Linked DNA regions of Notamacropus eugenii. The protein of the gene in region 1 purifies or fractionates together with the protein of each later gene. This does not show direct contact. Links are inferred from orthologs where the notes say so. Each region holds a gene or a part of one and is shown on either strand. Other genes may lie near its edges.

Evidence for each region.
Region 2: the proteins of RASSF7 (region 1) and PPP1CC purify together in Homo sapiens (affinity purification with mass spectrometry; 4 studies listed by BioGRID and IntAct, counting the BioPlex papers as one, with this or other methods). This does not show direct contact. The link is inferred for Notamacropus eugenii from reciprocal best matches to the Homo sapiens genes RASSF7 and PPP1CC.

The regions. Positions count from the first base shown.
Region 1 is NC_092873.1:27,747,411-27,755,337, reverse strand, and holds RASSF7 (ras association domain-containing protein 7), read left to right. Parts: upstream 1-4,757; 5' UTR 4,758-5,101; intron 5,102-5,363; exon of another isoform or gene 5,364-5,494; intron 5,495-5,790; 5' UTR 5,791-5,827; coding exon 5,828-5,930; intron 5,931-6,022; coding exon 6,023-6,684; intron 6,685-6,770; coding exon 6,771-7,025; 3' UTR 7,026-7,529; downstream 7,530-7,927. Other genes in the region: LMNTD2 (lamin tail domain-containing protein 2), read right to left, coding at 1-134, 362-449, 543-695, 890-1,119. UniProt on the Homo sapiens protein: Negatively regulates stress-induced JNK activation and apoptosis by promoting MAP2K7 phosphorylation and inhibiting its ability to activate JNK.
Region 2 is NC_092875.1:35,564,278-35,571,993, forward strand, and holds the start of PPP1CC (serine/threonine-protein phosphatase PP1-gamma catalytic subunit), read left to right. Parts: upstream 1-4,478; 5' UTR 4,479-4,561; coding exon 4,562-4,616; intron 4,617-7,716. UniProt on the Homo sapiens protein: Protein phosphatase that associates with over 200 regulatory proteins to form highly specific holoenzymes which dephosphorylate hundreds of biological targets.

The DNA.
Region 1 (7,927 bases):
CGCAGCACACGTCCAGCCCACGAGGATCGGGCCAGGTGCAAGAGGCATGACCGCTGGAAGGTCTGTACCTCATCCTCCAGGCACCGCAGGCGTGCATGGGCCTCCTGAAGCTGATTCTCCAGCTCTGTCTTCTCCTATAGGGAGAGATGAGAAAGGGTCTGCAGAGCCCCAGGCCCAGCGGCCCCAGGGGGAGGAACAACTCTGCAACCTGGAGAGAGCAGCCAGCCTGGGGGGAGGAGGGCACCAGCCCCAGCAGACTGGGGGCGGGGGTGGGGTGGGGTGGGGGGGTACCAGGCCCAGCAGACTGGGGTGGGAGGGTTGGTCCAGGTTCAGGAGCCTCAGGCCTACAGAAGAGACACACTTGGCAGGCTTGCTCCTTTTGGGCACTCAGCTCCTGAGTCATCTTGTCAATCTGCTGCTGCAAGGCTTTGATCTGCTCCCGGGAGGTCCTGTAGGAAGGTCAGAGCAGGGGTGTGTGGGAGGAAGGTACACAGGGAGGGGACAGAAGCCTGATGGGGAAGGGGGCCCTGAGGGTTACAGACCTTTCTGGCTTCGAGTCTGTCAGCTCATGGAGAATGTAAGTCATCCGCTTTCCAGATGGACACTGAGCAGCCTTCCGAAGAGCTTCAATTTCCAGCTCCTTTTGAGCCAGCAGCAGCCTCAAGACTTTTGGATCCAGGTGCTCCAAACGGCAACTGTAACCACCATATCTGTAGCCCTTGAACCCTGGCACTGGTCCCAGGTTCCAGAGCTGGACACGATCCTGGCCTTGAATGCTCAGCCGGGACCTCCTGGACTCTAGCCCCAGTAGCAGAGGCCTTACATTCCAGCCCTGGTGTCCCCCCCGACTCCCTGCCCCGGCCCCTGGACCCTCCATTAGGGCTCTTACTTCTGGCTGTTGGGAGACATCAAGAAGGAGACAGAAGACAACTTGCCATTGGCACCTTCAGGCATTGTTCCGGATTCTGTGGCCTCCAGGAAGTCGCTGCTCCACATGAAGGAGGGCCAGGAGATGGTCCAAGAGGGGTCATGGACCTGGAGCCCCTGTCCCAAGTCACTTCCCAGCTGCTCCAGGCTGGAGGAGGCATCTCCCCCCTGCTCCACAGGCTGCCCAGCCATCCTTGGTGTTCCTGGGGGGAGCCGCCTGGGAGACAGGCTGGGCTGCTGCAGCCGACTAGAGGTGCCCACCTACGGAGCAGAAGAGGGGACAGACTCTCCAGCCGCCTGTATAGTGTCCCAATCCCTGGGGGTCCTCCCAGATGCCACCAGCTCTAGTGGAGCGAGGCGTGGCAGGATTCCTTAGTCCCATTTTACAGATGAGAAAACTGCCTCAGAGTTTCAGGTTTCTGCTCCCCCCCAAACTGAACCAGAGGCTGCTGGTGGTCAATCTTCCCTCTCAATTATCCAGCTCTGGCAACTACCCCTCCCCCCTCACCTGAGGCAGACTGTGAGCTCAGGGTTCTGGAGCCCAGGCTTTGTTGCTGTTTCCACGGTTACGAGCCACCTCCTGCCCCAAAGGCCCCAGAAGGAGGGGCTGTTTGTGCTCCAGCATTTCATATGCCTCAATTGTTCCTTCTGGCACACTAGGCTCTAGCAGGGGTGGAACTGGGAAGAAGGAGGCTATCCTAGAGGGAGCTCACCAGCAGAAGGGCCAGCCTGCTCAGTTTGGCCTCTTCTGGGGAAGTCTGGAGGAGCAAGAATCTCCTCTGTTTGAGATTCCCCCCTTCTCCTTCCCTAACTGTCCCTCCCCCAGCTAGAGCTGCTCTCTGCTGGGTCTCCTCAGAGGTGGCTCCAGACATGGGGAGCAGCCAGGTAGAGGACACAGCCACCCAGGAAGAACCATTAGAGACGTGATGATGGATCAGCTAGAATTGATTCAGCATCTCCAATGTGCCAGGCATCACACCAAGCCCAGGGGATACAAAGAAAAGGAAAAGAGTCCCTGGCCTCAAGGAGCTCCTGGTCTAAAGGGGGGACAACATAGAACGAACTTTGTATGAGTGGCCAGAAGCTCAAAGCATGAAGGGCCATCCGAAAAGGGGTCTTTCAGTAGACACTTGGAAGAAGCTAGCTAGGGAAGCTGGAGATGCAAAGGCAGAGTCCAGAAATGGAATAAACACAAGCTGGCCAGTGCCCCTGGACCCTAGAGTGTAAGGAAGAAAGAGACAATGCTTTTAAGGCCAAAAAAGATTTCGTCGTTAGTCCTAGAGGTGGCTGGGGGATGAGAAAGTGCCAGGGGGTCTGAGGGTAGAAGGTCATTTACGAGATCATTGGTGACTTGAGGAGGGCAGATTTAATCAAATGATGTGAACAGAAGAGTGAGGAGTGGCAATGCTGGTTGTAGATGGCTTTCTCCAGGAATTCAGCCACAAAAAGAAAAAGAGAAGGGGGTAGGGGCAGCTAGAGACGGTAGGGATCAGGAAAGAGGTTCTTTTTCCAGGGTTGGGGGCGTGTTTGTAGGTCATACACAGATGGAGCCAGTAGCATCAGAATGACTAGGGGCTGTCTAGAAAAGGCACTGTGGTGAGCAGGATAGTGCCTCAATCAAGGTGGCTGCCTTGGTCCAGTCGGGGTCTCTTCTTGCAGCCCTAAGGTTGGCAGTCTTTGGCTAAGAAAACAAAAGCAGTGCCCTGCTTCTCTGTCAACCATGTGTCCTACGATGCTGGGACCCTTCCCTTTCCCTGGGGAGAGCTAAAAAATGAAAACCATACATCCACTGAATTGTCCTCAGCAATCAGCAAATGTGTTAAGCACCTACTACACACTGTTGAGGTTTGGGGTGCTAGGAACCACAAAATACCAACAAGCCAGGTCCTGCTCAAAAGAATTCAACACAAGCCTTCTTAAAGCCAAAGAAAAACAACGTTTATGAAAAATTCAACATATTGGGTTGACTCTTAAGGAGCCTAAGTATTTGTAACACTTATATTCACAAGCAGGCCAGATAGAATCTCAGCTAGACAGTTTGAGCTGGATTGAATCTAAGCACCTTCATGGAGGCGAGATGGCACTTAAATACAGAAAAAGACTGAGGGGAGAATCCAGATTTTGCCAAGCAGTCTCAGGTCCCAGGGATAGTCTGGACAGGGGAGGTCAGCCTGGAATATAAATCAAACCCAGGGAGGATCCTGATGGGAGTGGCCCACAGTCCAGACAATCCACAATCCTGGCTGGGCCACTGGGACCTCAAGAGAATGCTAAGAAGTGGCAGGAAGGGAGGAATCATGAGAATGTTAAATCAAGTAAGGGGAATCCAAGGAGCCCCCCAAGGCCAGGCTTTCCGAGGCCCTTCAGACAAATGGGACCAAAACCCTCCCACTCCAAGAGACAAAGGTCTCGGCTTGGGCTTGTACCCCATCAGCCCCAGATACCATTCCAAAGATAAAAAAGGGTTGAGGTCTAATAGGGGAAATAATCTGGATGTGAAAAAAAGTATATCCAGTATATACATATATAGTGCCTTCACCGCTGTCTCCAACGGGGCCTGTCTACAGCTCAGTTATACCCAAGTGTTTGCAGGTTGTCACCTCCATTAAATTGGGAGTACATCGAGGAGAGGGGCTGGCCCTTAGCACAGTGCCTGGCACACGGCAGACTGTGCTTAATAAATGCTTATTTCCTTCTTCCTCTAACTCTTGGACCTTGGGCAAGTCACTTAACCCCAGCTGTCTCATCCTGGGTCATGTCCAGTCATACTGATGAGTATCTGGTCACTGGATTCAGATGGCTCTGGAGGAGAAGTGAGGCTGGTGACCTGCACAGTCCTCCCTCACTCAACATAAAGTCCAGTGCAAGTCATGTCATCATTTCTCCGATGGGTGGTCTTCTTCAGCAAGGAAGGACGAACACACACAACTCGTGGAGGAGGTAACGCTTGAGCTGGGGTTTTATAGAAGGCAGTTGGGGGGGGGTGATGTCTTCACTTGGCCTGAACTGCATTTCAGTGAAGTAGAGCTGCACTCACTCTCTCTTCTAGAGTCATCAGAGTCCAACAGCACGACAAAAGTCAAGGCAGACCCAAGCACTCGGCAGCGCCTGCTTCAGCAGCCTTCAGGGCAGATTGCTCCTGTCTGCCCATTCCCCTGGGGAAGTCTTCAGGTGCTTGGGGGAGACGACCCCCTACCTCTACCCTCAGTGGGGCGGATCCACGTGCCACAGCATCTGGGAGCCAGCGGCCGGACCTCCCTGAACACCCTGGACCGTGTTAGCACAGGGTCTGAGGCTCCTCTCCCTCCACCTCGAGGTCCCACGAGTAGCCTTGGAGAGGGGCAGCCGCTCCGGGTGATGCCCCCCAGGATGAGTGCGCAACCCCTCTTCCAGCCCTCTCGCAGCGCCCCTTCCCCACACCTCCCCTGCCCAGCCCCCCTCTGCCTCTCCATCTCAGGCCCCTCTCGCTCCCCTCTTCCCTTTCTGAGACCCCTCATCCTCCCCCACCACCCAGCACCCAAGAACCGCGTCTGAGACGCGCCGCCGGCCGGTCCCACAAGCCCTGGCGCTCCGCCAGGAGTGTCGGGCGGGGCCTCAGGATAATTCGCGGGGAGAGGACACCACGTGGGCGCCAATGGCTACTGTGACAAATGGATCCAAACGAGCCCGAAGCCGCGCGTGCGCAGACCGAAGGCGGCGGCCGCGCCGTAAGCTCCGCCCCCCGCCGCTGTCCCACCTCTCCCACCTTGCCCCCACTCAGCTTCAAGGCAACAGCCAGTGACGCGCAGCGGGAGCGGGAGCGGTAGGAAAGGTGGGAGATGAGACAAAAGCCAATGGGAGGACGGCAAAGAAGGGGCGGGTCGGCTGCTGAGGGACCAATGGACGGAGAGGTGAGGCCCACCGTTCCGAACAGGTACCCGGAAATCAAGTTCCTCCGGACAAGTCGTGGCTTGGTCAAAGGTCAGAAGTGACAAACCGGGCAACGAGAAAACCATTCCCCCACGCCACGGGCAAGGGGACCCAGGCGTCCGGATTGGAGGACGACTTTGACCGCGGACTTCCGAGAGGCCGCGAGCCACGACCCCTGGAGTTTGGGGAGGTGACCGAACCACGTGACTACACCAAGCCCCTCCCATACCTGTGACCGATGGAAGCGGGGCGGGGCGACAACCAGGTAAACCAGACCCGGCTGGAGGCGTGGGAGCGGAGCCAGGCTCTCCAGCCAATAGATGCCTGACGTAGGGCTGTGAGGCGGGGCCGGAGTCCGTGAGTGGCCAACGGGAGCTCTAGGTGGGGTGGGGTGGGGCAACAGGCATCCGGCCAATAAGGGTGAGGCGTGGGACCGCGGGGCGAGCTCACCACTGCGACCAATGGGCGCCCGGGGTGGGGCGGGGGCGGGACAACAGGCGTAGGGCCAATAGGGGCGCTGGGTGGAGCGGGGCTCGCAGAATCAGCCAATCACGCCGTGGCGTGGGGCTGCGGGGAGGGGTTGCCGGAGCCCGAACCGAGCCGAGCCGGAGCTGGAGCTAGGTTGGTCGGTTTGGATCTGCGGGGAGAGGCTCCGACGGTATGCTCTGAACTGTTGGGTTCTCCTGCTGGGGTGACCTTTGCTAGGGTCAGCCGCTGCTTTTTTGGACCTGGGGGCCGGGGGTCAGAGGTCCTGCTGACCTCTGACCCCGCCCCCCAAACGGGAGCCGGGCTGAGGAGGCAGGGGTTAATGGCCTGGGTCCCCCCTGGGGTGGAGAGCAGAGTTCTGGGCCTTTAAGGGGCCCCTCTGGGGAGCGGGGTGTGGGGGTGGGGGAAGAGCCCAGAGCGCCCCACAACCTGCTGAACGGGGAGGGGTGCCCCTCCCTCCTTCCCCAGGTCCCGCCGGGGATGCCCCGGCCCTGCCCCCGCCCCCATGGAGCTGAAGGTGTGGGTGGACGGAGTACAGCGTGTGGTCTGCGGCGTCTCGGAGCAGACCACCTGCCAAGAAGTGGTCATCGCCCTGGCCCAAGCCCTAGGTGAGCGGGGCAGCCCCTGAGCTGCTGGGGGGGGGGGGGGGGTGCCTGGTGCCAGGGCTCCTCCCCCAAGACCACCTTCTCCTCTTTCCCAGGGCAGACTGGCCGCTATGTGCTCATCCAGCGCCTCCGAGACAAGGAGCGGCAAATGTTGCCCCAGGAGTGCCCCGTGGGGGCCCAGGCCACATGCGGACAGTTTGCCAGTGACGTGCAGTTTGTCCTGCGGCGCACAGGGCCCAGTCTTGCCGAACGGCCTGCCTCAGACCCCTGTCTGCCCCCAGAGCGGTTCCCTGTGCCGGCCAGCCTTCCCCACAGGCCTCTGCCCCCCGCCCCCCATGACTCCCCCAGCCCAGCCAAGGAGGACGTAGAAGGGGAGCTGTGGGGCCTGGAGCACCTGGTCCAGAGCAATGAAGCCGAGCTGGACCAGGAGGGCTTCTGGGCCCAAGAGCTGCGGCGGGAAGTGCAGCAGGAGCTGGAGCGCCAGAGCCGGGTGCGGGAACTGCAGGCGGCCACTGAGGAGTGCGCCCGGCGTCTTCGAGAGCTGGACGCTCAGGCCCGAGCCCTGGAGGAGGAAATCAGCTGGCGGCGAAGGCAGCAGCGGCAGCAGGAGCTGCCTGGCCCCCGAAGGCCCCAGGATGAGGCTGCCGCTGCCCGACTCCACAGAGATCTGCAGACCCAGGCCCTGCAGAGTGAGCGACTAGAAAGCAGCCTGGCCAGCGTTGGCCGGGCCCTGGCGGAAGCCGAGCAGAGCCTGCAGGTGAGGCCAGCCTGATCCATCGCCTTCCAACCCCCCTGAAGGAAGGGATCAGGCCTCTTCATGGCTCCCCTCTCCCACCCATCCAGGCCCAGGCCCAGGAGGTGGAAGAGCTGAATAGGGAGCTCCGACAGTGTAACCTGCAGCAGTTCATCCAGCAGGCCGGGCCAGCACTGCCCCCACGATCCCAGGGCCCTGAGTCCAGCCAGGTGAGAACCTTGGGAGCTGGGTCCCAGGAGGAACACCCCCTTCCTGGGCTCCCTCGGCTCACTCCCTGTTTGCTGCAGGATCCTTCAGCCTCACCAACAAGCCCATCCCACGCCTTCCCAAGATGTCCAGCGTGAGCCCCAAAGCCCACGTAAGTCTGCTGTCCCTGCACCTCGAGGAAGAAGACTCGGAGGAAAACCCCTGTGTGTCTGCCTGTCTGGCACCTTCCTTTCACTCAGCTTCATTGGCTCTCTCTCAAAGGCAGCTCAACGGGACACTGAGGCTGTGCTGAAGATAGTCACTGCCAGGCTGGGGGACCCATGTCCCAACTATCCAGCTGGTTCCCTTCTCCAGAGGTGCTGCACTGGCCAGAGATGAGTGAAGGATCACTGGGAGAGACACATATGGGCTGGGAGGAGAGTTTTGGTGCCACTCTGCCAAAGACCTACAGACAGAAGGACAATGGTCCCACAGGCTGGCCCAGGCTCCTCTGGCTGGAACTCACTTCCTTGGACCCCTGCTATGTGGCCAGTAAACTCCTAGCAGGAGTGGGGGAGAGGGGGCCTGAGTGTATCCCTGCAGGGGAGTGTCCTTTCATCCCTCACTGTGTGGATCCCCCTGGAATAAAGGCACCTAAAGTATGTTATATCTCTGTATCCCGAAGGGTGGGGCAGGCCTGAGTTTCCCTGAGGCCTGGGCCAGTTTTGGACCCTCTCCCTCCTTCTTTCCCCTCCCTGGAAATCTGCAGTCCACTTTGTCTATTGTAATCACAACCTTCCTCTTGTCTTCAGCTCCCACCCACTGCCCCGGCCACAGACCCCCACCCCACGAATAGTCAGCTAAGTCCCTGGATGGTGTCACACCCAGAGCTGTGGACCCCTGGGGACCAAACTGCCCCTCCCAGAGGGAAGGCATGACCTTGATCAGACCCAAGGGCCAGGGGCTCTCCAAGCAGAGGGAAAGGCAGGCTTTGGACTCCTTTCTGGCCCACTGTGGGGTGAAGACAAAGGCCTGGCAATAGGCAGCAGTTGTGCGCCTC
Region 2 (7,716 bases), on another chromosome or scaffold:
AAGGGTCAAAGGCAGGATTTGAACCCAGGTTCTTTTCCATTTTTTTTTCAGATAGGACATCTTCTAAACAATCTGAGACTCTCAAGGCAGGGCTTGGACAGTTTCTTGGCCTTCTTCACTATGTTCCTGAAGGCAATCTTGGGACTGCCACAGCTCAAAGACACTTTAAATCTTCCATTCTGCAAGAGGCCTTTCCTAGTATCCTTCCCTGTCCCAGATGCAAATACCACCCCCTCTCAGTTTTGAAATGCTTATGGACTGACCCACTAAGCATCCCTCCTGCACAGTTGAGAAGCCAGTACCACCAACAGGATATATACTTTGATATGCTACTTCTTCTAGCAGTGAGGAAAGTTGGTCCCCAACCAGCCACACTCTCACCCTTTTCATGTTCAAGGACACACACATGCAAGTTAACTAGCCAAAGATGCCATCTCTGCTCAGGGAAAATGTTTGGCTATGGGGTGGCAAGCCAGCAGCCTCCTCCTCACTGAATATTAACCAAGTGAGCTAACTAGTTGTGACAGAGACACTCCAGCTCTGGGAGAAGGGGGACACAGTGGGACAGTGACACTCAGCCTCGGGCAATGGTTCTGTGATATCTAATGAATCCAGAGGAGACAGCTGCTCAGTCCTGGCTCAAGAAGGCAGCTCCACTGAAGCAATTTGGAGGACTTATGCCCACCATTACATAACATAATCTACCCTCCCATGTCTGCTAGTTTATACAAAGAACAGAGAGACAACTAAACCATACAGCAGTTACAGTGTGGGATTTGAAGTTAAGAAACCTGAGTTTTAATCTTCCCTCAGACACTTACTAATTGTATGACCCTGGTAAATCACTTGACCTGTGTTTGCCTCAGTTTCCTCATCTGTAAAGTGGGAATAATGCTATCACCTGCCTTGTGGTGATAGCATCAAATGAGAAAACACATATAAAATGCTTTGTAAACCTAACATACTATTATTGGTGGAGTAGAGAAGAGGAGATTTCACCACACAGGGAAAGTAGCAAATTTCAAGGAAGGATTAGTTCTAAAGTCTGCTTCACATACAAGCAAGTACACACACACACACACACACACACACACACACACACACACACACACACACACACACACACACACACACACACCCCTTCACTTCCTCTCACTCCAGCCATGTACTTTGCTCCAACAATCTCCCTGAAATATTAATGTCTCTTCCCAGGAGGCTGAACAGGAGCCATCCTGTGGACAGATGGAAGGATTTGTAGAAAGCATTTCAGAGACTCCACCAATCCCGATCCTGGACACGTGAGATGAGAAGGTGGTTAGAGTATCAATGTATCTCAAACTGTTACAGGGCAAATCCCCAGGAAAAGCTGCAGACAGTAGAATAATGTCCAAAACCCAGCCAGTGGTCCATTTCTTTCAAATATTCTCTCTTGCAACAACAGCACCAAAGATCAGTAACAGCTAATATGATAATAAGTGATAATAATATAAAAGTAATCACATTTATAAAGCATGTTAAGGACTGCAGAGAACTCTATCTATGTTATTCTCATTCAGTGATCAGAACAATCCTAAGATACTAAGACAAATAAATAGTCCCTACTCTCTTCTGTGAGAAGCAGTAGGTAGAGTGCTGGGCCTAGAGTCAGGAAGACCTGAGTTCAAATTTGACCTCAGACTCTTAATGTAAAAATGGGGATAATAATAGCACCTATCTCCCAGGGTTATTATGAGAATCAGATGCAAAGAAAAAACACTTTGCTAAGCTAGGTACACTGTATTCACATAACATGCTTACAAATGTTATCTCATTTGAATTCTCACAGCCTTTAAGGGTGGGTACTATTATTTCCATTTTATAGATGAGAAAACTGAGGCAGACAGAGTGACTTGCTCAGAGTCATACAGTTAGCAAGTGTCTGAGGTAGGATAGGTCCAGAAAGGAGATTATGAAAAAGTAAGAGATGTCAATTAATTTTTTTAAAATTCAAGACTGTATCGAATCTTTGTCTTTTTCCTGTCATGGTTGGTTCTGGCATAAAAATGTCAAACAATGAGTGTCCCTCTCCTCTGTCCCCCAGCCAAGAACAGCAGCCTCAGGTTTTCTCACCATTAAGGTAGTATCTATCTTGAGTTCCTCACCTAGTTAATCAAATTCTCCACGTGCAAAGGGAGCACAAGAAACTTTCTCTGCAGGTGAGTTACACAACCAGACCAACTTCAAAATGCGCCAAGCCTATGTGGTGACCTTGGCAGGCTTGGGAGGCTCCAACTCAGAAGAGTGTTAAGACTCCTTGTAATTTGGTAGATTGCACCCAGTTCTCCATCCAACAAAAATTACGGGCTTCTTGCTACGTATAGTGCTAAATTCATCACATTCAGACATGAGCTGTCTTGCAAGAACAAGCCAGCTGTGCACGGCTGTGCACACTGGAAATGTTTGGGGCAAGGCCCATACAACCTCTATTGAAAAACAACAGCATGCCTTGGAAAAGGCATGCAAAAAACGGCTAGCTGTGGGGCTGTTAAATTGTTCCCATTTAACAGAGAAAGACCATGAGACACTGGAGAAAAAGGCAAGTGATTCTTTCTTGGTGCCAGTTGGTGGTGAGGTTGGGCCTGGCTGCAACCCCTTAACCTCCAAGCTTTAAAGACAAGGGAGACATATACCCAGATTATATTGTACAAATATAAACACTGCAGTTTCCTGGTCAGAAAATGAATGCCACTGTATTTGGTTTTTTTCCGAAAATGAATCTTCATTGCCCTATCTTTTTTGCTTTCTGCAAATAAGTCTTCCTCCCTCCTCGTTTCTCCCTCCTCCCCCATCCTCCTTAGCCCAGACTCATCCCAGGCTGTGTCTGAGAACAGTGGGGATTTTTAGGATAGAGAGTGAAGGAACAAGAGAATTTCACTTCTCTTTCCTTAGAATGAGGTGAATTCAGCAACTCTTTATTTATTATCTCCAGGGGGGCAAGGGACACTTGGGACCCTTCTTGGAATTCTGCCTCACTCTGGGAAATAATGAGGTGTCTTTGCCCCATGGGCAGTTTGCAGGAGTGGGTTACTGAGAGGAGAAAAGAGGGGATGGAGGAAGGGAGAGAAAGATTGAGGAAAGGAGGGAAAAGAAACAGAAATGCAAAGGGAAAAAAGGGAGAATCAGAGGAGAAGGGAAGCGGGGAAGGAAGAAGGGAAAGGGGGGGGAGAGACAAGAGACAGAGAGACAGAGAGGAAGGAGGAGGAGGAGGGGGGAAAGGAGATGAGAAGCCGACTAAAAGAGGGGGCAAAAGTGGGAAGGAGAGGGAGCAAAAAGAGGGGAATAGAGGAGAGGGGAGAAGAGGGAAAAAAGAAAGAGTAAAAGAGTGTAATAAAGGGAAAGAAAGGGAAGGAAAAGAGTGAAGAAAAAGAAAAGGGGAGGAAAGGACAGAGAAAGACAAGGAGAGCCAGAGGCAGACAAAAAGGAGGTTCTTAAGTGACTTTAGTCGCCCACGTGCTCTCGCCCAGCCCGGCGCCCTTTCCTCAGACCCTGGTTCTCCTCTTGGGCCAGCCCAGCGAAGCCCCCTCGCCTTGTCCTCTGACAGAATGGGGGCATTGAAAGCATTTGCTTTTCTTCTGTACCATCCAGCCCAAAGTCCGAGCCACAGAAAGGAGGAGAAACCCTCAGCAGGGCTACGAGGCTGGACAGGGGCAGGCCTGAGCCCCCAGAGAAACAATCCACCCCCTTCCTCTTTAATCCTGACCCAGGCCAAATGCGCTGCGCTTGGGGATCCCAAGGATGCAACGGAACCTCCGGACTGTGGGGAGGGAACACCACCAGGCTGGACAGCACCAGCAGTCCAGAGCCGCTCCCGTGCGCCTCGGGCTCAAAGGGCCCGTGAGAGTTGGGAAGAGGAGCCCCAGAGCTGGGGCAGCCAACTCCAGCTCCACCATCCCTCCCAGGTCCCTGTCTGCCCCGCGCGGCTTTTCGAAATCCCTCGCTAGCTGGGGCCCTATTTGTTCCCCGGTTCGCGGAAGGACCCGGCGCAGAGCGCTGAGCGACGCGTCTCACTCCCCCCGCCCCCTCCTGCCTCGCGCGCCGAGTCCCCGCCCCCTTCCCCTTTGGCCCTAGCCCCCATAAAGAGGTCCCGGCCGCTCTGCCGCGCTGCTCCCGCGTATCCATACGCCGCCCGAGGCTGGCTGAGGAGTCGGCGGCCATTTTGTCCCTCTCGTGGCTCCAGCGGGAGAGAAGGAGGAAGAGGGAGCCTGGGGGGGGGGAGGGAGGGGACGGGAAGGGAGCCGGCCGCCGCCTCCTTCGCCGCCGTCTCCACCGCCGTCTCCACCGCCGCTTCCCCCGGTGCCTCCGCCGCCACTGCCGCTTCTCTGTGCTCTGGAGCGTGGGGAAGGGGCGGACGGGACCGTGAGTCCGGGGGCTGGGGGGCGGGCGGCGGCGCCGCCGCTGCTGCTGCTGCTGCTGGGGCCGAGCCGGGCCGAGCCGAGCCGGGCCGGGCCGGGCCGGGGGGTGGGGGGAGGGCCGGTGAGGAGGCGCCGCCGCCGCCGCCGGGGCCGGGGTGCAGGAGGAGGCGATGGCGGATATCGACAAGCTTAACATCGACAGTATCATCCAACGGCTGCTGGAAGGTGAGCTGCGGACGGGGCTCCGGGGCTGGGGGCTCCGGGGCTGGGGGGTCCTGGGGCTGGGGGCTCCGGGGCTGGGGGGCCAGGGTGGCCGTGCACGGCGGGGTTAGGGGGTGCTAGGCTCCCGCGCCCGCCGCTGCCCCGGGGGGCTCTGGGCTACCCCCGGCCGCCTGGCCTTGCAGGCTGAGATGGAGGGGGGGCACCAACAGCGAGAGCTCCCCGAACACCCTGAGCCCTCCCTGGGGAGTGACGGGGGGGCCCCCTCGTTCATGACCCCCGCCGGCGATCGAGGGGACGCACGGACACGTCCTGGATGCTCTGCCCCAATCCTTGCTTTCGCTCCCCCCGACACCCCCCCCCCCCAACCCCCGGCCCCTTGGCTTTGAATTAGAAACCGAGCTGTGAAGTAACTCCTGCCCCCCGCCCCCCGCTTCTCCTTGGCGGGTCTCTGCAGACTTTTCTGTGAGCTTGGCTAGGCTCGTCCAAAGCCGCAGGACGGCGTGTTCCGTCCCCTTCTGCTGGGGCGAGCGCCGGGTTTCTCGTAGTGGCCTCCACAAAAGCCGTTTTATGGGGTGGTTGGTTCACTAGGTTTCTAGGTTTGCGGGCTTTTGTCCAGCCCACCCTCTTTCCCTCCCTCCCCCCGCAGACCTTAGCCCTGGAGAGTATTCTTTCTAAAGTTTATAGTCGAGAGACCTGGACTTTAATGACTTCACCTTCTCTCCCCACTCCCTGCTTTAAAAAAAATACAATTCCGTTGAGTAAGTAGGCACTTATTTCACTTCTGGCATAAAACCTGAACCAAGGAGGGAAAAAGGTTCTGTTTGTTTAAGAAAAAAAATAGGTGATTCCTCCCCCCCTCCCCTTCTTGTAATAATTGAGGGCTAAAATGCACTAGTTTTGACTTGACTAAAGGATTGGAGATCGATGTAAGGAAAAGATGCGAAGCATTTCAGTAAAGCAGCCGGAGATTCAGGGCATATGAAACAAGGCTAACATTTTATCCAGACTTTCGAAGAGCTCTTGGCACTAAGTAGTCCAGCTTTGCTAAGTTTCCTGTGAAGTGCTTATCGGCCGTCCTCTTAAGAGGTTCTTTGTAATGTGAATGTTACTGGTGCTGAGGGGAGAAAGTAAAGAAGCGCATGAACCGTGTGGCATTAAAATTCCCATCTCTTTGGGGGCAAATGACCTACGGGTAATGACCCAAATGAAATTTTGTTTTCCTTCGAATAGCTTCTTTTTAAACAACAACCAAAAACCCACCTAACTGAATGTGTATGTATCCCCTTCAGTGTTGCTGACATGTTGCTACTGTTAGATGTGAGCTCTTTGTCTTGATGTTTGTTAAAGATATTTTACCAGATGAGATGATTCCGTTTTTATGAGTGTTCAGTGTAGTTCTTTGCTTACATGAAATTGCAGTTTTCCCTTGACCAGAAACCGATGAAAGCTAGATTGCATTCTCTGATGAGCAAAGAATCTGTTTAAATATCTGAAGTTGAAATTGGATAAATGGAAGAAATTGAATTCTTTCTTTTTCCTCTTGTTCATTTGTTAGGCTGGTGGGTTGCTCTTCAAAGATAAACTCTCCAGTATTTACTTTGTCACTTAAAAGGTCTTCATGTGATACTTTTATGAGTTACAGGCCTAAAACCTAGAGTCAAAGTTAACCTGTAAATGATTAAATTATGATTATTCTGTCTTTAATATGTTTTATTTATTAATGCAGTTTTTTATACCAGCATACTTGCATATTGCCTTTGGAAGCCTCATTTTACATTTCCTTACCTGTCATTTAGAAAATCTGTCATTGCAAAGCTCGTCTTGTCTCATGTAGCATGAGTTGATCATTTAACTAAATGTAATAAACTAGTATTTCCTTAATGCTTAGGTGCTGGGGAAGGCCAGCACATGAATATTTAAATAACCTGTAGCATATGCTTGGAATCAGCACTTGGGCAGTGGCTCACCATCCAAGTAGGAAGACTTAATAATGAAGTTTAGTAAGATTTTTTTGTGTGGTGGGGTTTTTAACACACACACACACCCTCCTTTTTTTAACCGTTGAGATATGTCGGGAAATAGGAAGAAAATGCTTTTTCAGCCAGTACTAGATTTCCCTCCTTGAGGCAGATCTTTTACATATTCAAAATGGACAGGCCTTTAAATTGATTTAGAAAGTTGCATGCTTGTAAGGATGATGGTGTGTGGCTCTGCAAAACCACTCCACAGTAGAGAAGCCAACTCAAAATGGATGACTTCCTTAGGTTGGCTTCAGGGTCAGTTCTTCGCAGAAGAGTTTTAATTTTAATTTATGTGAATTTTGTCAGTTTGGTTTTAGGGGTACTAAGCTTTTTCATACTATTTTTTTTCCGTCTCAGGAATGGTATTTTACATGGAACAGAAGTTGATGTGTACAGATAGTATTTTGTAAACAATCAACAATGAAGTAACTTTTGACATTAGTAGCATTCCATTTTTTAAGCTATTGTAAGATGAAGAAAAATAAACTTGCTAATAATTTCAGTAAAGGCTTGGGGATACTTGCATGTTTAAGAGGTGCACTCAGCTCATTATACTAAGTAGCAATTGTGCTTTATAAAGCATAAGATGTGCACATTAAACTCAGAACCTTTGCTCATGGTTTCTAATGGTAGTTGCCACATTTTCCTGGAAACTTAGAATGGACTGTTTATTTCTCTTTTATCAGTGGAGGCAAAATTTCTTTTTCCTTTAGAGTAGTTCTTGCCCAAAGTCATGTAAACAAGTCTGTGGTCAGGGCTGCACTCAGATTAGAATTCCATGACTTGTTTTGACATCATAGATGCAGCCTTTCTCTAAAAAGGGTATCTATAATAACCTCCTTCTGTTTAATCCTTTGAAAGCTTCCTCCTGAATAAGTACATTGGTTATATTAATAACATTAACGTACATTGGAGCAGTCATTTCTGAGGTGGAAATTCTAAAATGAAATTTCAGTTTTTAGAGCATCAAGTACCATTTAGCACTCAAGTATTAATAAAATAGGAATACTTATTCCTGGTGAACCTTTTATTGTTTGGCATTCCAAGAAAAAAATGTTTAAGATGTATTTAGTGAGTTAAAT